Linked DNA regions of Caenorhabditis elegans. The protein of the gene in region 3 interacts with the protein of the main gene of each other region in a pairwise test. Each region holds a gene or a part of one and is shown on either strand. Other genes may lie near its edges.

The links.
Region 1: the proteins of ccct-1 (region 3) and hum-2 interact in a two-hybrid assay, tested with the Caenorhabditis elegans proteins (one large-scale study listed by BioGRID).
Region 2: the proteins of ccct-1 (region 3) and icpp-55 interact in a two-hybrid assay, tested with the Caenorhabditis elegans proteins (one large-scale study listed by BioGRID).
Region 4: the proteins of ccct-1 (region 3) and F59D12.2 interact in a two-hybrid assay, tested with the Caenorhabditis elegans proteins (one large-scale study listed by BioGRID).

What each region holds. Positions count from the first base shown.
Region 1 is NC_003283.11:9,384,627-9,389,207, forward strand, and holds the start of hum-2 (Myosin motor domain-containing protein), read left to right. Parts: upstream 1-1,548; 5' UTR 1,549-1,603; coding exon 1,604-1,660; intron 1,661-1,757; coding exon 1,758-1,871; intron 1,872-1,920; coding exon 1,921-2,438; intron 2,439-2,486; exon of another isoform or gene 2,487-2,488; coding exon 2,489-4,415; intron 4,416-4,464; coding exon 4,465-4,581.
Region 2 is NC_003279.8:367,956-375,100, forward strand, and holds icpp-55 (Aminopeptidase P N-terminal domain-containing protein), read right to left. Parts: upstream 5,491-7,145; coding exon 5,376-5,490; intron 4,759-5,375; coding exon 4,662-4,758; intron 3,719-4,661; coding exon 3,400-3,718; intron 2,807-3,399; coding exon 2,469-2,806; intron 1,292-2,468; coding exon 820-1,291; 3' UTR 546-819; downstream 1-545. Other genes in the region: R119.3 (DeHydrogenases, Short chain), read right to left, coding at 5,733-5,787.
Region 3 is NC_003279.8:13,777,099-13,781,895, forward strand, and holds the start of ccct-1 (Coiled-coil and C2 domain-containing protein 1-like), read left to right. Parts: upstream 1-1,796; 5' UTR 1,797-1,800; coding exon 1,801-1,907; intron 1,908-2,680; coding exon of another isoform or gene 2,681-2,782; intron 2,783-2,830; coding exon of another isoform or gene 2,831-2,911; intron 2,912-3,044; coding exon of another isoform or gene 3,045-3,176; intron 3,177-3,274; coding exon of another isoform or gene 3,275-3,409; intron 3,410-3,461; coding exon of another isoform or gene 3,462-3,548; intron 3,549-3,591; coding exon of another isoform or gene 3,592-3,717; intron 3,718-3,762; coding exon of another isoform or gene 3,763-3,827; intron 3,828-3,898; coding exon of another isoform or gene 3,899-3,982; intron 3,983-4,029; coding exon of another isoform or gene 4,030-4,140; intron 4,141-4,185; coding exon of another isoform or gene 4,186-4,304; intron 4,305-4,797. Other genes in the region: Y37H9A.1 (Copper transport protein 86), read left to right, coding at 1-35, 82-206, 1,433-1,579.
Region 4 is NC_003284.9:15,671,967-15,677,282, forward strand, and holds F59D12.2 (uncharacterized protein), read right to left. Parts: upstream 3,757-5,316; 5' UTR 3,694-3,756; coding exon 3,603-3,693; intron 3,555-3,602; coding exon 3,418-3,554; intron 2,280-3,417; coding exon 2,160-2,279; intron 969-2,159; coding exon 882-968; 3' UTR 547-881; downstream 1-546.

The DNA.
Region 1 (4,581 bases), on a different chromosome or scaffold from region 3:
TTTGTTCAAATTTTTGGAATTCGATTTTGTAAAATACCCGTTTTTTTCTTTTGAGAATTATTCGAAGTAGCTTCATTTTTCGTGTTATCTCCTGTTTTCAAAACTAATCACTTCCTCTGCTTTGCGCTCTTACTATATGTGGAAACAACTGTTTCCTCACATTCTTTTACTTCTTCAGGCAGATTTTTTTCATTTTCGGCGCAATTTTATGATGGCCGTCAACAGCTCGTCATCACTTGTCGGAAGCACTGAAAGTGGAGAGACTCTGTAGCGATTAGGCAAATGTTCGTTTTAATCTACCTCCATCAGCAGCGTTTTTAGTAGTAGACCGTCCCAATTTTCGCTTTTGAATTGAAATCGCTTCTTTCCTCGTTTCGCTTTCTACTTTTCGGATTTTGTCGGCTTGTACCCAGAATTGAAAACTAATGTTGTCGTTCTTTTTTCCCACATCACGATTTTGGTTTCTATCCATGTCTTCCTGTTTCCGAATAAGAAAGTGTGGAATTTAGCTTATTTTCTCCTTTTTCTCTATTATTTTATTATCGAAACAAGTGGTAAATACAGGATTATTAGCAGCTACTTATTGCCGATAAGAATTTCTTCGTATTTTAATCACTTTCTCTATTTCTCCGCTCTTCCTTTTCTCTGTTGACACCTTCACACCTTCGCAACGTATGCAGATTTGCTCTGGCGATAAAATTGCCGCAAGGCGCTGGTTTGAAATTTGAAATGGCAGCCGGCTGTCTTTTGTCACCGAAGCAACGCTTCTTTCGTTACTCCCGATTTACATACATTTTCTCCTAAAAATAGTGAACACGAAATTAATTTTTCATTACAACCCATAACGATTATACATTTTTTGATTATCAGCAAGTTCATAGGAGAGAGTAAATTATTATTTTGTTGTCATAAACAAAAAGTAGCTATAAAAAAAACAACGTCGAAACCAGTATTATTCCCTATTTCATTGTGACACAAAAAAGTAGTCCCAAAATGTGATAAATCACAAGTTTCCAAATGAGACTGCCCTTGATGAATAGTAACGAATTGAATAGAACAAGCTTCTTCTCAGTCTCTTAGCGGAGAGGAACACCGGCCGATAAGTGTCCTTGGCAAGTTGCACATGCTTGCAAGAGGCGCCAATTCAAATCTATCTTTTCTTTCCACTTAATCCTACACCTCCTCACTTTGTTTTTCATAAATGTTGAGTGGCGCGAGAGATGGATATTGAGGAATGTATATTTCGGCACCACCGGGGATAATAAATTTTTATGAGGCACCATGCAAAACCGTAGATCTTCGCTGTCTTCACGTCCAGTACGGGAAAAAGTGTTTCATTGCCGAAATGTTTATTTTTGCGTTTCCGAACCTGATAACCGGACAATATCGTAGAATGGGAGAAGGAAGGGCAAATACACAGTGATATGTTCATGTAAATATTTCACGTTTTTTCCTGTCTCAACTCAACATTTCACCAACCTATCGTTTCTCTTCGTTCTCTTCTTAACTTTCTTTAACTCGTGACTTATGTTCAATTATTCCAAAATATTTCAGATTCACCGAGCCTGTTCACCGAATCGAAAAAAGATTGGGAGCATCCAATATGGACGGAGGCGCCACTCTTGGCAGGGGCCAGTTGTTCCCGCTGCAAAACTTCAAGGTGAGAATTATTTAAATCCTACTATTAGATGCCATTTCAGTTTTAATAGTTTTTTGTTGCTCAACTTTGTTATTCAAATAATTTTGGAAATTTTCAGAAGGGAGTTCGTATTTGGCACCGCCACCCAACCCTTGTATGGATTGGAGCTACTTTGGAAGAGGACATCACATTCCAAACACGGAATGTTCGGATAAGGCTCGAAGATGATACGGTGAGAGAGTTTATCGCATTAATCGTTTTCAAAAACTTATTCGTTTCAGGAAGTCGAGTACGCCATCAAGTCATTGGACCAGTTGCCATTCCTCAGGAATCCTGCATTTCTTGTTGGCAAGGATGATCTCACACTTCTTTCCTATCTTCACGAGCCGGCAGTTCTTCACAATCTACAAGTTCGATTTGTGAAAGGATCATCGATCTACACATATTGTGGAATTGTGCTTGTAGCAATCAACCCTTACGCCGATTGCTCGCACATTTATGGAGAAGAAATTATCCAAGTGTATCGAGGAGCTGGAAAATCAGCTCGTGAGATGGATCCTCACATTTTCGCTGTAGCAGAAGAGGCCCACTTCGACATGGGAGCTTTCGGAAAATCACAATCTATTATTGTGAGTGGCGAGTCTGGAGCTGGAAAAACCGTATCTGCGAAATTTGTCATGCGCTATTTGGCATCTGTTGCAGCCAGCAAGACCAGAAATGGCGGGACCACCAGCATTGAAGCACGTGTGTTGGCGAGCAATCCGATTATGGAGTCGATTGGAAATGCCAAAACGATTAGGTTGGTTTATTTGAAATTAATCTTAATTTGTCAACTGTTTTTATTTTCAGAAACGATAATTCGTCTCGATTTGGGAAGTTCATACAGATTAACTTCTGTGAACGAGGACGAAGGATTGTCGGAGCCGAAATGAAGACATATCTGCTCGAGAAAAGTCGTCTAGTATTCCAAGCACCTGGAGAGCGCAATTATCACATCTTCTATCAGTTATGTGCCGCTCGGAATCATCAAGTTCTCAAAGATCTTCACTTGGGACCTTGCGAATCGTATTCGTATCTCACTCAAGGAGGAGACAGTCGTATTCCCGGAGTTGATGATAAAGCTGATTTCGAGGCTTTGCTGAAAGCGCTTCAGTTGCTTGGATTCGACGAAAAGCAGATGTCCGATGTATTCCGCCTTCTCGCTGGATTATTGCTTCTCGGAAACGTGCATTTCGAAAACGGCGAGGGCTCGTCCGCTGTATCTGCTAGCAGTTGTCAGGAGATTTCACGACTTTGCCGGGAGTTTTGGAAAATCAGTGAATCCGATCTGAGAATTTGGCTGACAAGGCGAGAGATTCGAGCTGTGAATGAGATCGTGACGAAGCCGTTGACCAAAAATGAAGCTGTTCGTTCGAGAGATGCTCTCACGAAAATGCTGTATTCCCATTTATTCGGATGGCTCGTCGACAAAATCAATGAAGCTTTGAACGAGAAGGATAAGCTGGACGGAACAAATCAAAAGAAGCGGCCAGATCGTTTCATTGGCGTCCTTGATATCTATGGATTCGAGACATTCGATGTGAACTCCTTCGAGCAATTCTCCATCAATTATGCAAACGAAAAACTACAACAACAATTTAATCAGCATGTCTTCAAGTTGGAGCAAGAAGAATATATTCGTGAGGAAATTGAATGGGTTCGTGTTGATTTCCATGACAATCAGCCCGCTATTGATCTTATCGAAGGTCCTGTCGGAATGATCAATCTTCTCGACGAGCAATGCAAACGTCTGAATGGATCTGATGCTGACTGGTTGAGTCAATTGCAGAATAGCACGGAGCTGAAGAGAAATCCACAGCTCGCATTTCCAAAAGTTCGGAGCAACGATTTTATTGTTCGTCATTTCGCTGCTGACGTCACATACAGTACGGATGGATTTGTGGAGAAGAACAGGGATGCGATTGGAGAGCAACTTCTTGATGTTGTCGTTGCCAGTAAATTTCCATTCATTCGCACAGTCATCGGATCAACTGCACCAACCTCCGTCTCTTCATCATCATCTTCATCGACACCCGGAAAACGTACGATAAAGAAGACTGTGGCCAGCCAATTTCGTGATTCACTCAAAGAGCTCATGTCTGTACTTTGTTCGACGCGTCCACATTACGTCCGATGCATCAAGCCAAATGACAGCAAAATCAGTTTCGATTTCGAGCCAAAACGTGCGATACAACAACTTCGTGCGTGTGGAGTTCTTGAGACTGTTCGAATTTCTGCTGCTGGTTTCCCATCTCGTTATCCGTATGAGGAGTTTGCTCGTCGATACCGTGTAATTTACACGAAGGAAGCTGCCCTGTGGAGAGACAAACCTAAACAGTTTGCGGAATTAGCATGCCAACAATGCTTGGAAGAAGGCAAATATGCAGTTGGAAAAACGAAAATCTTCTTACGTACTGGACAAGTTGCCGTTCTGGAAAGAGTTCGGCTCGATACGCTTGCAGCTGCTGCAACTGTGATTCAGAAGATGTGGAAAGGATTTTTGGCCAGGAGAAAATACGAAACGATGAGAAGATCTTTGCTCATCGTCCAGGCATCGTTGAAAGCATTCCTCGCATTCCGAAGAATCAAGTATCTCCAAATGCATCGTGCTGTGATAGTCATGCAATCTGCTGTTCGTGGATATTTGGAGCGACGGAAGTATGAACAAATTCGCGATTCAATCATTGGGATCCAGGCAATGTTTAAGGCGAATCGCGTCAGAAGATATGTGGAAAAGGTATGATAATTTGTTGAAAGTTTTTTATTAATTGTTTTTAATATTCCAGCTTCGCTATGAGAAATCTGCAATCACAATTCAAGCAGCTTGGCGTGGATATTTGGCGAGACGTGAGCAAATCGCTAACAGGAAAAAGGTGGTCATGGTTCAGTGCGCTGTCCGTAAA
Region 2 (7,145 bases), about 13 Mb from region 3:
ACAATAATATAATCTTATTGCATTTTCGCAATTCTCGTTCTCTCCACACACATACACACATCATCCCAAGTATTCCTGTGCTGAATCTCAGTTTGAATGATGTTTCATACCGTTTTTATCCCACTATTGCCTTATCGTTTCCTGTTTTATTATATTTTTCATTTTTTATATTGCCACCACCACCACCAACACCACCCTCTCTATCTTTTTTTGTTCTTTTGCCTCCAGCAACATCATCACCTAGTTTTCTGTGAATTTTGAATTTTGTGTTCCCCCGAGTCCCCTCTGATAGGAATGATAGGAAAAACAATGAAAATGCGAGTTTTTTCAAAAAAAAAAATACAAACTAGGAAACTATAGAAACAAAAAAAAAACATTTGAGGCGCAGTACCGAAATCTCTCCAAATTTGGCCCGAAAAATTCAAAAGAAAATATTTATTTTTCTAAATTATTATTTTTCCGCCACTCCAGCCTCATTCTCATTGGAGCGCGCAAAGTCATGTCGATTTACGAGATTAAGATTTTCAACGAGTTTCATCATTGTTATCGATTTTCGTGTAAAGTTAACTAATTTTTTTGAAAATTTTCGCAAAAAATTTTGGATAATAAAATGTTCAATTGGCACGAAAATGCAGATCTTCAGCAAAAAAACCGACAGAAATGTGTAAAACTGAATCTCGTAAATCCACATGGCATAACGCGCTCCAATGAGAATGTTTTTAGCGAAAAGTTTGAACAAAGGAATATCAAATCAGGGCCAAATTTGGAGCAATTTCTAAAATATTTTCTCAATTCTTTCGGTATTCCACATTCAAACAATTATTCGGCCGTTCCCATGAGCCTCTGAATCTCGATGGGATCCCTTGGCACTGCAGCAGTCAACAGCTCAATCCCTCCAGCTTCACTAGTCGCCACGTCATCCTCGATACGGTATCCAATGCCACGAAACTCTTTGACAGGCCAATCCATCGGAACATACACTCCCGGCTCAATGGTAAATGGCACATTCGGTGGTAGATCAATGTCTCGGGATACTGTCGGACAATCGTGAACATCCATTCCGAGATAATGACTGACGTGGTGGGGACACAGCTTCTCCGCCTGATGAATCATCTCCTTGTGATCCGTAGATCGAATCAGGCCGAGTTCGGTGAAACTTGCCGCGAGAAGTTCGTTCATTCGGCGGAACAGGGCGCTTAGGCGGACTTTTTCCATTGAGTGGGCGTAGGTGAGCAGTTCTTCGTGAACGTAGAGAAGCGCTTCGTAGAGGGATAGTTGGGCGTCTGACCAGCTGCAAAAACGAATTTTTTTTTGGGAAGGTTTTTTGAAACGATTTTTCAAATTTCGTTCGAATTATATTAAACTTTATATAAAACGATTATCCACGGATTTCTGGCTTCCCTCATAAATTGGAATGGAAGAGTTTACCGAACTAGGCCATTTTGGCTCGGCCATATCTGGTGCCGCGTCGCGGCTCGATTTTAGTTGTAAAACTAAATGCATTTGTACGTGTGGAGTACACGACTTTCCCACGCGTTGTCCGGCGGGCGATTGTCAATGGAGCGCAAAAAATTCACTGAGGAAGGGGAGAACTCCGTGATTAGCACCGCCTATTTCTCTCACGAATCTATTTCTTCGAAATCTTCTATTTTTTAAAAATCAATTCCTGAATTCTGAAATTCATTATAGCGTAATTTTTTGGGAATTTCACCCTGAATTCCATTTCTACGGAACAACATTTTTTTCTCGAATTTGTGGTGACTCAAATTAGAATTTTCAAAATCTCCAGAAAAAAAATCATTTTTCCTGAATTTTCTGGAGATTTTTAAAGGAATAAAGTGCAAAAAAGACTCTTTTTGAGGCACCACCGAAAGGAGAAAGGAGAACACAAACCACGCCCATTTTTCCGTGCCGCGCGCAAGTTTTTCTGCAAATTTTTATTTTCAAACGAGACAGCGAAACTCCGAAATAACGCATATCGTGTTCTTTATCATCAACGTGTTATTTCGGAGCTTCGTTGTCTCGTTTGAAAATAAAAATTTGCAGAAAAACTTGCGCGCGGCACGGAAAAAATGGGCGTGGTTTCTGTTCTCCTTTTTCACCTGTTCTCCTTTCGGTGGTGCCTCTTCTTTTTTTTTTCTATGTTTAGCGTAATTTTTTAGCCATCTTGGAATAGCCCCGCCCATTTCTCCCACAAATCCATATCTACGAAATCTCGCATTCCAGAATGATTTGTGGTGTCTCAAACGGGAATATTCAAAATTTCTAGAAAAACCCCATTTTTCTTGAATTTTGGCCGAACTTCTGTAATTTCTGAAATTCTGAGAAAAATTTTCATTTGAGTCACCACAAATACTGGAATGCAAGATTTCGTAGAAATAGACTTGTGGGCGAAATCAGCAAAAAATGGGAAAACATTCAATTTTTTTTAATTTTTTGGGGTTTTATCACTAATTTTTAGCACTTACAATCCAGAAATCGGAAAGCAACGTGTCACATCTGACACATAACCATTCAAATCACACCCAGCATCCACGAGAACACATTCCCGGGGATTTAGGTCATTATTTGCGTCCAAATAGTGAATAGTGTTGGCACGAACACCACCGGCAATCACTGGTGGATATGCTTGCATTTCTGATCCACGACGACGTCCTTCAAACTCCAAGAGCCCGCAAATCGCGTTCTCGTTGTGTAGATCACGTGATCCCGATATCATTGAGCTCATTGTCTGGGCTCCCACGTTGCACACGTCACGCATTGAGCTCATTTCGGATGGAGATTTTATTACTCGGCGACGTTCGATCTGCAAGGAAAACTTGAAAATTGGCAAAAAAATAATTTTTTTTTTGAAATTTTAAAACGATTTTTCGGGTGTTCAGAAAAATTTTTTTTAGGAAAAAATTGGAATTTTCCAAAAGTTTCAAAAAAATAATTTCTAGAACTTTTTCCTAAAAAAAAAATGAATATTGAAAGCTTCGAAAACAGTAAAAATTGGGAAAATTTTTTTACCGTTAAAAAATTTTTTTTTTTCGAAAAAAAAATTTTCAGTTTAAAATTTGGAGCGTTTTCAATTTTATTGATAATTGGTGAAACAAAATAAAAAGTAAATAAAAAATTTTTTTTTTGAAAAATTTGAAAAATTAGATTAAAAATGTTTATTCTGGGATGAAAAAAACCTCCTAAAACCATTTTCTGGAAAATTTAAACTTCCTATTTTGTTCAGACAATTCTTTTTTTTCAAGAAAAAATCAAATTTTCCACTAGAAAATCGAAAAAAATTGACCTCGTTTAAAAATTGGACAAAATTTGAATTTTTACTTTGAAATCCTCGAAAATCGGATTTTTTTTTCAAAGCTTGAACAATTTTCTGCAAATTCTATATATCTCTAAACTCACAAAATGATTAATTTCCCGAACAGAATTAGCTTTAGCCTGTACAAACTTATAGAGTAAATCATCAGAAGTCGAATCAAAAAACACTGCAGTTCCCTTATCGCAAACTTTTTCCAAAGTCTGTAGAATCCGGCTAGTCGGCACACATTCCGTGAATTTTGCAGTCTTTTCCCATTCGGATTCAGTTGGTAGGGCGCCTTCCCATAGCTCATCATAGGCACTACGACGGTCAGCAAAAAGAATATTTGTTTCTTTTGAAGATTCGGATATTCCTGATTGCATTATGTAATAACAATCTGGTGTGGTGATTCCGTTTAGGTATCTGCAAAAAAAAAAAATTTTTCAAATTTTTTTCTGTTAAAAATTTAATTTATTTTTTTTATCAAACAATTTTGAATTTTTCCCAAAAAAAATCCGAAAATTGTGAACAAATCTATTATTTTCGTTGAACAAAAAAAAAACAAATTCAATTTTTAAATAATTTAATTTTCGTTCAGAAAAAGAAATTTGTCGATTTTCGGCGGCAATGATTTTTTTTAACGAAATTTTCCTGAAAAATTCAATATTTCAATAATTCCTGATTTTCTAGTTTTTTTTTTAAAGAAGAACATGTTAAATTTCTACTAATTTTATAACAAAAAATTTCGGGAAAATCTAGAATTAAAAAAAAATGTTTTCAGAAAAATTCTACTAATATATTAATTTTAGCTTAAATTTCGATAATTTTAGGTTATTTTTCAATTTTTTTAGGGCGAAATTTTGATTTTCAAAACAAAAATATTTTCTGACAAAAAAATTAATTTTCATTCTTTTTTAGATTTTTTGAAAAATTTTCAATTTTTTTCTGAAGAATTTGGTACTTGTGTATTACATGCCCTCATTTTTAAATTAAATTAAATGTTCATTAATTTCTCCATTTAAATTAAACGTGATATACATTTTCTCTTTTTAGGCTTAGAAATTGCTATTTTGCTACTTAAAAAATTACTATTAAAATGAGGGCATGTAATACACAAGTACCAAGAATTTCAATCAATTCTTGTTTTTGAAATTTTTTTTGGGAAAAATTCCAATTTTCGATTGTTTCTTCGATTTTTTCAGAAAAAAAATTTTCTAAAATTTATTTATTTGTTTGAAAATTGGATCTAAAAAAATTTCTCTAGTTTTTATTTTTTTTCTGGAAAAAGCTTTTTTTAACTTAAAAAGTTAATCTGTGGCCGAGTTTTCTCTCATCATTTTCACGGCCACGGCCATCAAAACCGAACCTGAAATGGCTTTTCTGTCGGAACGCGTGTGGAACATCCGGTGCAATATATGATTTCCGTGCTCCTTTCATCACAACGACCACTTGCTTTTCTGAAACTTTGAGAGGTCATGGCCTAACTTTTAAATGGTTTTCTAGGCCACCATGGTGATTTTATTACGGTACCGGGTCTCGACACGATGAATTTTGTAGAATAAATTTTTCTGAAAAATTTCGTTTTTTTTTTTAGAAAAATCAAATTTTCAAGAAAAATGGGAAAACATTTTTCAGGAAAAATTTAATTTTATAGAGAAAAATAGAATTTTTCCTTTAAAAAAATCTGAAAATTCGGATTTTTGAGAATTCTCTTTATTTGGATTTTAAAATCCAAATTTTCAAAAAAAAATTTAAAAATCGGAAAATTCCAAATTTTTGAGAGTAAACTCGCCTTAATTTTTTTTTTCAATTAAAAAAATTAATTTTTTAAAAGAAAATTGGAATTTTTACCCAAAAATTGGCAATTATTCGAGTTTTCAACGGAAAAATCTGAAAAATCCGAATTTTTGAAAAAAAAATCTTTAAAAATCCCAATATTCAATTAAAAACCGCGAAATTTCGGATTTTTGAGAAAATTTTAATTTAAAAAAGTCCTATTTGTACTGCAAATCCTCATTTCCAAATGATGGCCTAACTTTTTCAGAATTCTAGGCCACCAGGCCATTTCTCTGCCTCTTACCCCCAGTTTTGACCTCTTTTTTGAGTAAATTCATCAAATTCGTCCTTCTCATCGCATATTCCTCATTTGGAATTCGCGATGGCCACATTGGTAGGCTCCGCCCACTTCTGAGCATTTTTTTTTTGGATCTGATCTGTGTGGGAGGGAAATTCGAATTTTTTTAGAAATGAATAAAACTGAAAAAAATAGATTTTTTGGGAAACAGGGAACCTGAATTTTCGAGAGAAAAAAGGAGGTAAAACAAAAAATTCGATTTTATATTGAGCAAAAATTAATAGAAAAAATAAACTTAACAATTATGAACAGAAAAACCTACTAAAAAAGTCTAAAAAATGAATGAAAAATTGCAAAAAAAATCTACAATCGATACGAGACTCCTCCTCCAACAATGCAGTTCTCGCCGGTGATGTACCTGAAAAAAAGTGATTTTTTTTTGAATTTTTAGAAAACAAAATTATGAAAAAAACCAAAAAATTTCCGAATAATCGAAATTTTTCGGAAGTTTTAGGTTAAAAAAATTTTTTTTTGATGAAAAGTTTTTTTTCAACAATTCTGAAAACTAAAAGTACCAAAAAATTTTAGTTTTTTCGATTGTTTCAATATGATAATTTTTTTTAAATGTTTAAAATTGTATTTTTTCAAAAAATATTATCAATTTTCCAATTTTATGGTAATTTTGGATGTGAGATTTTTTTCTTCAAATTTTCGAAACGTTTCTCGATAAAAAAATTTTTCAACTGAAAAACTACAAAAAATCCTCTTATTTTGAAGAAAAATCGATATTTTCTCAAATTGTTCAGATTTTTTCTGTTTTTACCAAAAGTGACCAAATTTTGAGACTTTTCGATCCAATGTTTAAAATTTTTTTCCCGTTTTTTCGATATTTGCGGTTTAAATTTTTTTTAAATTTTTTGATTCAATTTTAATAAGTTTGAGTGTTTTTCGATTTTTTGTCCAAATTTTTTCAAATTTTTTTCCAGAAAATTGGTAGAAGCCAAAAAGTGCGATTTTTTTCCTTAAAAAAGATAATTATTCAGTTTTTCGACTGTTTTCTTCTTGCTTCCAGATTTTTTCTCGAATTTTTTTTATATTTGAATTGTATTTTTAAATATTATACTCCTAATCGATAAAAATTAGTTTTTTTTTCAATTTAAATTGGAAAAGAACGTTCTTTTTCGTAAATTTTAGTGATTTTTGATTCCAAATTTTTGGATTTTTTCAAAAAATTTCCCAGAAAATTTTACCTGGCTTTGGTAGAAGCCAGAAATTCGATTAAATAAGCTTTTTTGGGTTTTTCGACAATTTGTCAAGTTAGGAATTAAACTTTTAAAATTTTTTTCAAAAATTTTAAAAAACTAAAAGTATTTCTGAGAATTTTTCTGAAATTAATTATTCAGTTTTTCGACTGATTTCTGCTTGCTTCCAGATTTTTTCTCGAAGTTTTTATATTTGATTTTTTTAAAAAATACTCTTAATCGAAAAAAATTCATTTTTTGAATTTTTTCGGGACTTTTTTTTTCGAAATTTTCGTAAGTGTTAGTGTTTTTCGATTTTTGATTCTAAATTATTGGATTTCTTCAAAAAATTTTTTCAGAAAATTCTACCTGGCTCTGGTAGAAGCCAGAAATTCGATTGAAGAAGCTTTTTTTTCGGTTTTTTGGACAATTTTCCAAGTTTTAGTTAGGAGTTAAACTTTTTCAAATTTTTTTTGAATTTTTTTCAAAAACTTTAAAAACTAAAAGTATTTCTGAGAATTTTTGAGAAAAGCAT
Region 3 (4,797 bases):
CGGAGAGCTCAAGCTCAATTGTTTGAAAGCCATTGGTACAGCTTTTCAGCAGAAAAAGTCTTAAAAATCTGAAAATTTCAGCGAATTTGGCGAATTTATCGGATTCTAATAAGCTTGCCACGCTGCAAAATGGCCGACAAGGACTAATTTCAGTGCTTCAATGTACCACGAGACGGCCTGAATATTTCTTGGAGAGCTTTACTATGGTATCATGGATTTTCTGAAAAACCCAAAAAAATTTCAAATTTTCACTTTCAAATTCGAATTCTCCGTCCAATTCTACCAATTTTGGCTTTTTTCCCGGTCTTCTAGCGTTAATTTTGAGATTTCCGGGTTACTGTAGCCCCAAAAGTACGCAATTTCTCGTCCGGGCACCGGATCCTACGACGAAATGCACAGAAACTCAAAATGTTGCGAAAAGTGTCGGGATATGGGTAAAAAAGAGCGCTGAAACCGAATTTCGATAGAAAAACAATGGAAAATTGTGATTTTCTAGGTTTTTCGCTGAAAAATGTCGATTTTTAGTGGAAAATTATTAAAAATCTCGAATTTTTGGTAAGAATTCTGCTGTTTTCTTCAGAAATTCGGATTCAGCACCCCTTTTTACCCCTGCCTAGGCGGTTTTCGCGAGTTTTGAAGTTTCTGTGCATTTTGTCGTAAGATATGGTGCATCGACGGAACATTGCGTACTTTTGGCGCTACCGTACCCCGAAAATCTTATAATTAACGGTAAACGCCTAGAAAACCGCCAAAGTGTGGTAAAAAATGACGAGCAATTCGAATTTTCACACTAAAAACTTGGAAAATTATCGGAATTCAATTATTTCCTCAGAAATTTCAAAAAAATTGGTAAAATTTCAACTTTATCGCTTTTTCCATATGAAATTCGAGCTCAGCGCCACTTTTTACCCCTATTCAGCTGATTTCAGCTGAATTTTGCAAGATTCTAGATTTCTGTGCATTTTGTCGTACGGTCAGGTTTTCTGACGACAAATTGCGTAATTTTGGGGCTACAGTACCCCAAAAAGTTCAAACTTAACGCTAGAAGCCCAGAAAAAAGGCTGAACATGTGAAAAATGGCGGGCAATTCGAATTTCAAGCTTAAAAATCTCAAAAATCGATATTTCGTCCGGAATTTTTTACAAAACTTGCTTTAAACTTGATTTTCCTACCCAATTTTCCTATTGAAATTCGGATTCAGCACACATTTTTACCCCAAAATCGCCGGATTTCGCAAGATTTGCCAATTCTGTGCATTTTGTCGAAAGATCTGGTGCCCCGCCGCCGACAAATTGCGTACTTTTGGAGCTACAGTACCCCCGAAATGTTCAAAATTACCGCTAGAAACCCGGGGAAAAAAGGCTAAATATGTGAAAAATTGCGGGAAATTCGAATTTAATACTAAAAAATCCCAAAAATTCCAAATTTTCAGAGAAATCAATCGATATTCTGTGTTCGTCAGCTAACAGATGGTTGTCAAGAGAATAAGGAAGTGGTTTTTAATCTCCAGCAGCCAAATCAACCAATTATCGATCGAAAACGACTTCTCGAAGAGCTCGGAGTCCACGTGGACAATTAAATTTTTGAAATTTTAATTTTTCTGTTGTTCCCGCATTTTTATACACGTTTTTTTGTTTTTTGTTGTTAATTTTTTTTGAAAAAATCAATAATTTATCGATTTTTTTTTCATTTTTATTAATTTCTCAATTTTCAATAACTGTTCCCCGTGCAGTTTTCTGGTATTTTTTTTCCCAAAAATTTCAGGCAAAATTTTCAGCCAAAACCCCCCTGATTTTCCAGATGAATTTCAATGATATTGATAATCAAATGTACGGGAATTTGGAGGAGGACGCTGAGTTGCTCGCCGAGCTTGCCGCAATACAAGAAGAGGAGATGGGTCGTGTTAGGTAGGGTTTTAGCGGGTTTTCGGCGAGAAATTCGGATTCTCTGTGATTTTTTACCATCGGGAGCCTTTTTTCTGGACTTCTATGGTTAATTTTGAATTTTCCGGGGTACTGTAGCCCTAAAAGTACGCAATTTTTCGTCCAGGCACCGGATCTTACGACAAAATGCACAGAATTTTTAAATTTTGCGAAAACCGGCTGGATAGGGGTAAAACAGGCCGCTGAAGTCGAATTTCAATAGGAAAATCGTTGAAAATGCGAAGTTATGGTGTAGAAATTCATTTTTTTCCGCAATTTCGATATTGTTACTGCGAAATTTGAATATTTTATCAATTTTAGACATTAAATTCGAATTCGGTAATTTTTCACCCCCGGGGGCTTTTTTCTGGGCTTCTAGCGTTAATTTTGAATTTTCCGGGGTACTGTAGCCCCAGAAGTACGCAATTTCTCGTCCGGGCACCGTATCTTACGCGAAAATGCACAGAATCTCAAAGTCTTGCAAAAAGTGTAGATTTTTCATGATTATCGTCTTTAATTTGACGAATTCCGGCTGTACCGTTAGGAAATTCGAATTCCTTGTCATTTTCTACCCCCGATGCCTTTTTTCTGGGTTTCTGTCGTTAATTTTGAAATTTCCGAGGTACTGTAGCTCCAAAAGTACGCAATTTTTCGTCCAGGCATCCGAATTTACGACAAAATGCACAAAATTTCCAATTCTGCTTAAAACAGGCTTTTCTGGGGTAAAAAGGCGAGCTGAGCTCGATATTCAATAGGAAAATTAGGGAAAATTCGAAATTCTGGCCGGGATTGTGTGGAGAGTGAGCGAATCGGTTGGTAGACGAGAGAAAATACTGCGGCTTGGCGACACCGTGAATGTTCTGAAATTTTAAACTTTTTTTAAAATTCATAATAACTTATTTTCTTACCGATCTAGAATTCCCGGAGAATGGTTAGAAGCCGCAGATTGTGGTGGTGGAAGTTCGTTGGTACGAACTGAAGAGTCGTCTCTGAAATTTATGAGTTCGAATTTGTTGAAAATTTATTTCCACGCTCTACCTGTCACTTTTTAAATGTGTTTTGCCTAAATTCTTTTAAAACTAAAAGTTACTAGAAAAACTAGAAGTTTAAAGCCAAACTCACCGAGAGCGACCAGCTCCGACATTTGAAGCAGCTGAAGTTCTCGAACGGGAACCTGATCTCGAACCTGTCGGGGCTGCTTGATTTCTGCTCCGGTTTCCGCTGAGCTCGGTGGCGTTGGGTTGGACAAACGTCCTGAAAAACAAAAACTTTACATTTTTACGTCTTAAAAATCGTCTGAAATCCACTGAAATTTATCTGATAAAATCAGTTTGAAAAACCAAACTTCTTACCGATCGGCCGTAGCATCCGTTGGGGCAGTCTCATACGATAGAGTTGGCTGGATTGTGTGAAGTGACAGTTCCGTAGGAAACCGAGAACGTGATCCACTACGACTCGATTGTATTTCTGGTGCTCCAAGGAATCCGCTGAAATTCAAATAATATAATCGATTCGAATTAAAAACCCGCTATTGCTTACGTGTCTGCAATCCTGACCGTATGGGCACTCTGAAGGGACGCCGATGGTGTAGTTAAGTGGGACGCACGCGTCGAAACAATAAATGTTCTGAAATTTAAAATTAGTGATTCATAATAACTTGTTTTCTTACCGATCAAGCGTGTTCGGAGACCGAAAAGAGGAGAGAACTCCGTCGAGTGAGTCACCTCTTGAGGTTTGAAAATTGCTCCGCGAGGACTGCGCTGTCATTTGGCTTGGGTGAGGACGATAAAATCCCCTGAAAAATAAAAACTTTACATTTTTTCGTCTTAAAAAATCTTACAAGTCGGCAGACTTCGCGGTATTGAATGCGGAGATGCCACGTTGGCGAGTCCTTGGTTGGATCTTCTGAAATGTGATAATTAGACTTTTGAACACATTTTTTGCTAGTTTCTAACAATCAATGAAAGCAAGCTTACCTCGTCGAGCGTCTCAATTCCTGCTCTAAAGAGCGATTATTTCCAGTAGAGCTCTGCAGAGATGGGGGAGGTGCCAGAAATCCGCTGAAAATCGAAAATTAACACTCAATTTTTTTAACTTAATTATTTACTTGTTGTGCCGGTCTGATCCCACTTGTGATTTCGAAAGAGACCTTCCGAACGTTACTAAAGGAGAGCTTCCGGACGATGGGACTGCAACTCTGTTGGAATTGAGTGTATTTCTGAAAATAGGAAACTAGAAATAATTTCAATCGAAAAAAAATCACCGTTCCAACACGCGTTTAGATCTCCGGTGGGGCGATATACTCGATGAGTCTCTTGACGCTTCGGAAGTCGTGTCTCTGGAATCCTCCTGGGAAACCTTGATAGGCTTACGCGACGGCATCCTAAAATTTGAAAAATTATACAAAGACAAGAGAGAGAAAATAAGTTAAAAACAGGAGAAGCCGACAGAAAAGAGAAAAGAGTGTGTAAGCTGAGAGGGCTCTGCAGATATTTTAAAACTGTGTGGTTAATAAAGGACCGGAAGAATAAAAGTTCTGACTTCTGGCCAAACTTCTGAAATTGGAAAAATCAATTTTCAAGGTCTCAGAAAAGAAGAAAAAGCAAAAAACATAAAAGATTGTCTATACTTCCAGTCATTCCAAAAAGTAAAGTAGAACTAAATAATAAAACGCTTAATTTTTGAACAGTTAATTCTGACAGCGAAAATAGAATACTGCGAAATTTGAATATTTTATTAATTTTAAACATTAAATTCGAATTCTCGGTGATTTTTCCCGCCGGCCGGCTTTTTTCCGCGCTTTTAGCGTTAATTTTCAATTTTCCGAGATACTGTAGCCCCAAAAGTACGCAATTTCTCGTCAGGGCACCAGATC
Region 4 (5,316 bases), on a different chromosome or scaffold from region 3:
TTTTATAAAGTAAGAACATTTTCAACCAAAATCGATTTTAATTACACCACTTTGTTATTTCTTCAAATTAACAATTTTCAAAGTTCAATCATTTTCTTCCAAAACGCTCATTTTCAATCTCCAATTTTCTGGTATACAACTTCAGATTCTACAGATCAACTATGATTTTCAATTTATTTTTTTTTAAATTTTTCTTATTTGAATATAAACATTCAAGATTTCTTCTCTTTAAATCTGCCCAAAGTCCCAAGCACTCATCATTTTCTCGGGTTACCAATGAAAGTTCTTATAGGTTTTATTGTGTTCAGATATATATTTTTTCCAATCATTGAGAAAAAGATTCTATATGACTTTATTCGGCTTTTTATTTGTTTTTCTTATTTTTTTATAAAAATTATATTTTGTATTACAATACATTTTATCACTGGAACAAAACCCAAAACCACTCTTAAATAATTGAAAATTGATAATTAATAATACGTTTCGTTTTTCGGTCTCTGAGTTAGATAAAAGCCGCCGTTAGTGTAAGGGGTAATACTGGAGAGGTAATTCAAAAATGTTTATTCTGCCGAAAAATATGTTAAACGACCTATACAGTAAATGACTAGTTATTTTCGGTTTCATCCGTAGAGATGAGTGTGAATGATGTTTGTTGCATCATAAGGAAGTTGTTTAATTAGGTTTCGCATATTAGTTGAAGCTGAGAGCACAAGGAAAGACATCATAAAATAAATTGAAGAAAATTAGAAAAAAAATAAAAGGAAAAATGACGAGAAGGAGGAGAAAGAAAGCCCGCAATAATGCATAACAAAACGGAATAAATTAAAATGCAAACGTCGTGAAATGTCGAATGAGTTGAAGTGGTTTCAATAATGTATCCATCATTTTTGAGCTGTCACCGGGCTTTGAGTAGAAGTCACACGTTTGAAAAATGAAGGTAGGGAGAATTTGGTGCAGCTGTTGCAATTCTGAAAAATGCATGTAAAAGTTGAAAATATTCATTGTTTTCAATAAAAAAATTAAAACATTTAAAGGTGGAGTAGCGCCAGGGGGGAAATTGTTAAAAACCACTCCTTTGGTCCCAAAATGGCTGAATATCATAATTAAACATTTCAAAAATTTTTCTACATTTTTATACTGTAATTTTGTTTAAATTGTTTGCATTAAAACATTAAATTTCATATTTTTCAAAATTTTGGCCATTAACCTTTTTTGCCAAAACTTTGAGCGGAAATTATGAAAAATCTAAAACTTTTTGGAGTGTTTTACTATGATATTTGGTCTTTTTGGATCATAATAAGTGTATTTTGTAAAAATCCCCACTGGCGCTACTTCACCTTTAAGAACATTTTTTTATCATTTTTAAGGTGGAGCACCGAAATCTGGGAAATATTTTCAAATGACTCCAAATGGGCCCCTGATTTCGAATATCTAAGTGACAAAATTCAAAAAAATTTCTCTGATTTTTTTTTATTTAAGCTTGAAATCGCGAATTTCATTTGTGTCCCCATGAGATTTTTCAAGTGCGCGCCAAAATAAGTTATCCTTGGAGCGCGTTTGCCTCATTTAATTTTCTCCATTTATTTTCACTTGTGACAGTTTTTAGCTTTTTTCGTTCATTTTGTCGTATATTATTGTTTTTTTAAATATATTCTTTCGTGTCAATTGAACATTATATTAGCATAGAAATGAATGAAAAAAGCTGAAAAACTGGAAGCAGTAAAAATAAATGGAGAAAATTAAATGAGGCAAACGCGCTCCAAGGATAACTTATTTCGGCGCGCATTTGAAAAATCTCATTGGGACGCAAATGAAAATCGAGATTTCAAGCTTAAATATAAAATCAAAGAAATTTTTTTAAATTTTTTCACATAGATATTCGGAATCAGGGGAAAATTTGGAGTCATTTGAAAATATTTCCCAGATTTCGGTACTCCACTTTCAAATTTTCAAAACGTTTCCAATTTTTAGACCAAGATTCCCCCATTGTTTTATTTCCAACAGCTAACATGTGCAAAGAGCGTATCTAAACCGAGAAAAACGGCGCAAGTCTTCACTTGCAAATCCAATATTTGATTAACGTGATAGGATATTGTCTAAGACTAATAGAATTATTGACTTTTTGACAGTTTGAAATACACCTGAGCTAGGTTGATTACCTGATTGTAAGAGCACATGAAATAAAGAAGAGCAGTAGAAAGAAGTACCAGGAGGAGAAGTGAAATGATTGTAGACATAAGAACGCACATTTTTATTGTTGAAAACATTTCACCCGCAGCCTGTAAGTTGATAATTTGAACTTGGAACAATGATGCGCGTTTTTTGGGAGCAACCTCTAGAATGAACAAAGCAGCAAATAAACCTGATTTTTCTGCCGAAAATGACCAAATTAGTACATCGGTTTTCTTATGTTTTCAAAGCTAGTGTTTGTTTTTTTTTTTTTTTTTTTTTTTTTTTTTTTTTTTAATGGATCTTTAAAACTTTTTGCAAGTTTATTGTAGTATGACGTCACTGGCGACAGTAAGATAATATTATTGAACAGGTTTAGATTATAATATTAAACAAGTTAAAACATATTATTAAAGGTGGACCAGCGCCAGTGGGAAAGTGTTTAAAATTAATCCTATGGTGCCAAAATGACCGAATATCATAATAAAACGGTTCAAATTTGTTTTGAAACTTTTTAATTTACTGTCAAAAAGTGACAATTACTTAGTTTTTGCCACTCATAATTTTGAAAGTCGACTAAGAAAAAAAATTTTCCTACATTTTTAATATTTTAATTTTGTTTTAGTTATTCATATAAAGCATTGTAATGGTCAGAACATGCGAAATTGCTTTGGATTTCCTCAAAATCTAATATTTTTCAAAATTTTGACTATTAACCTCTTTTGCCAAAACTTTGACCGAAAATTATGAAAAATCTAAAACTTTTTTGGAGTGTTTTATTATGATATTCGGTCGTTTTGGATTATTGTAAGTGTATTTAAACAAAATTCCTAATGGCGCTACTCCACCTTTAAAGAAATTTAGTTTATATTTAAAAATAAAACATCAGAATATTAGAATTATTCGTATATTTTCAAGTGACTCAATAATTGTTTCTGGCAAATTTATACATGCACAACGACTATAAAATTTGATATAATACAATTACGGTACTTATGTGGTAGTCATGCCCAAGCACTTTGAACCGTTTCAAAAAAAAAAGACCGTTTTTTTTCAGAACATTTTTAGGTCTGAACTTGTGGTTTTCTAAGCTTTAAAATGCAACCTAATCACACGTTTCGAGATAATTATTATTTTAAATATAAATTAATGGGTAATTTATTTTTGGTAAACGGATATATACTAAATAAGTTCCAGTCTCCATTAAAAAAACCTTCATCTAAAAACATATTACGAATCGTCACTCACCCTTGCAGCAAATTGAATATCTTCCATACCACAGGCCTTGAAACATGTGTTACCAAAAATATTACCAGCTATTGAAGGTCCACCTCCACCACCAGCACTGCTACTTCCACCAACTCCCGGCCCATCACCGGATGCTTCTGAAACTTTGGGTTACACTAATGAAATTTAGAAATGAGCCAGAAAACCTGCTCCAGCACCCATGATGTTCGAAATACCGCTTATGGTTCGTGAAACGTCGGAGAATAGTTGCGGTAGGTTGACCTCACGCTCTCCCATTCCGATGCGCAATCAACTTGGAAAATTGGTACAAGTAGAATAAATGAACAAGTTGAAGTCGGTCTGCAAAAATGATAAATAAACAAGAAAAATAGGATGATTCCGTCTAAAAAGAAACATGCGTCGTGATGATCCGGTGTTCGGAGAAAACAGTGAGAGATGGGGGGGGGGGGGGGGGGTGAGAGGAGAGTTGTAAACAGACGGGGATTGTCCTAGATATAATATTCATGAGTGGTCTTTTCACCTGGAGAGGGGGGAGGTGAGATGAGTGAGGATCAAAGTGTACAAATGTATATACGGATTTGTAACCTCCGGAGGAGAGTAGGTCAAGAAATCTCTAGTAAATTAGTGAAAGTTTTGAGGTTTCTTTTTTTTAAATTGCACTCAAAGATGTAGTACTTAAATTTTTTGTTGCTTTATCAGACTCAAAATTGCCTAAAAACAACGAATTTCATAATGAAACCTTTTGAAAACTTCTCAAAAAAAGTTATGACGGCTCAAAAAAAGCCTGAATTTTGACCGACCTGTCAATGTCGCAGCGGCTTGAAACAATTTTTTTTGAAATCACCGTCAAATTTTGAGTATTCAATTTAATTATCTCATTTTAAACTCGATTTAGGTATTTTAAAGTCGATGGACGAAGAGATCTTAAAAGTTTTGTTACCAAATATTTTTGTTCATTGGCTTTAAACTACCTAAATCGAGTTTAAAACGCAAGATAATTATTATAGAAACCATACCATTGCACAAATTTCTCATAATGTATTTTTGATCTACCTGTTGAACTTGACTCCGCCCCCAAACTTGTTGCCGTTCTTATTTTATTGTTGCTGTCTTGTCGATGGAATGGGAGGAGCCTAGTCAACAAGGTAGATCAAAAATAAATTATGAGAAAATTGTCGTATTTTTTCGATAATAACTTGTATACTCTAAATTTGACGGTGATTTCAAAAAAATGATTACCAGCCGCTGCGACATTGACAAGTCGGTTACATTTCGAATTTTATCTAATAGCAACATTTTAAAAATTCAAAAAATATTCGGTCCTGGGTTCAAAAATTGCAAAGTTAATTAAGTGCTGCGATAACTTCAAAATCTGACGTAGCCTTTTTAAAAGTGCTCCACTCAAGTGCTTTTGACCAAAAGTGGCGCGCCAAGAGGTGACTATAGAAGTTAATGAAAAGAAAGAAAGGAGCACTTGAATGGCGTAACGCATAAAAAACCACTAATATATGTTCTAAAAGAGCACTGGACTGCGGGTGTATGTTTATTGTTAGTGAGCAGTGGACAACGAGGTGACTTCCGGTCAACCTCTCACGAAGAAGAAACGTTTACTTGATGATGGAAAGACACAGGAAGCCGAAAAAAAATGTTGCATAGTAGCTAGCATTGGAGTGAAAGTAATACATTGGGTGTAGTATATATTTGAAATTTAATCTCATCGAAATTAAAAGCTATTGTGAGTAGTAAACCGGCACATTTGAATAATGGCCTATTTTGTCATATAAAATCTAGTACGTACCTATCGAATACCTATTCAGCTTCAGTTTAAGTAGAATCGCAGTTTCAAATAATATTTCGAAGTAAAACTTTTTCATTTATGATACATTCGAAAAACAAGTA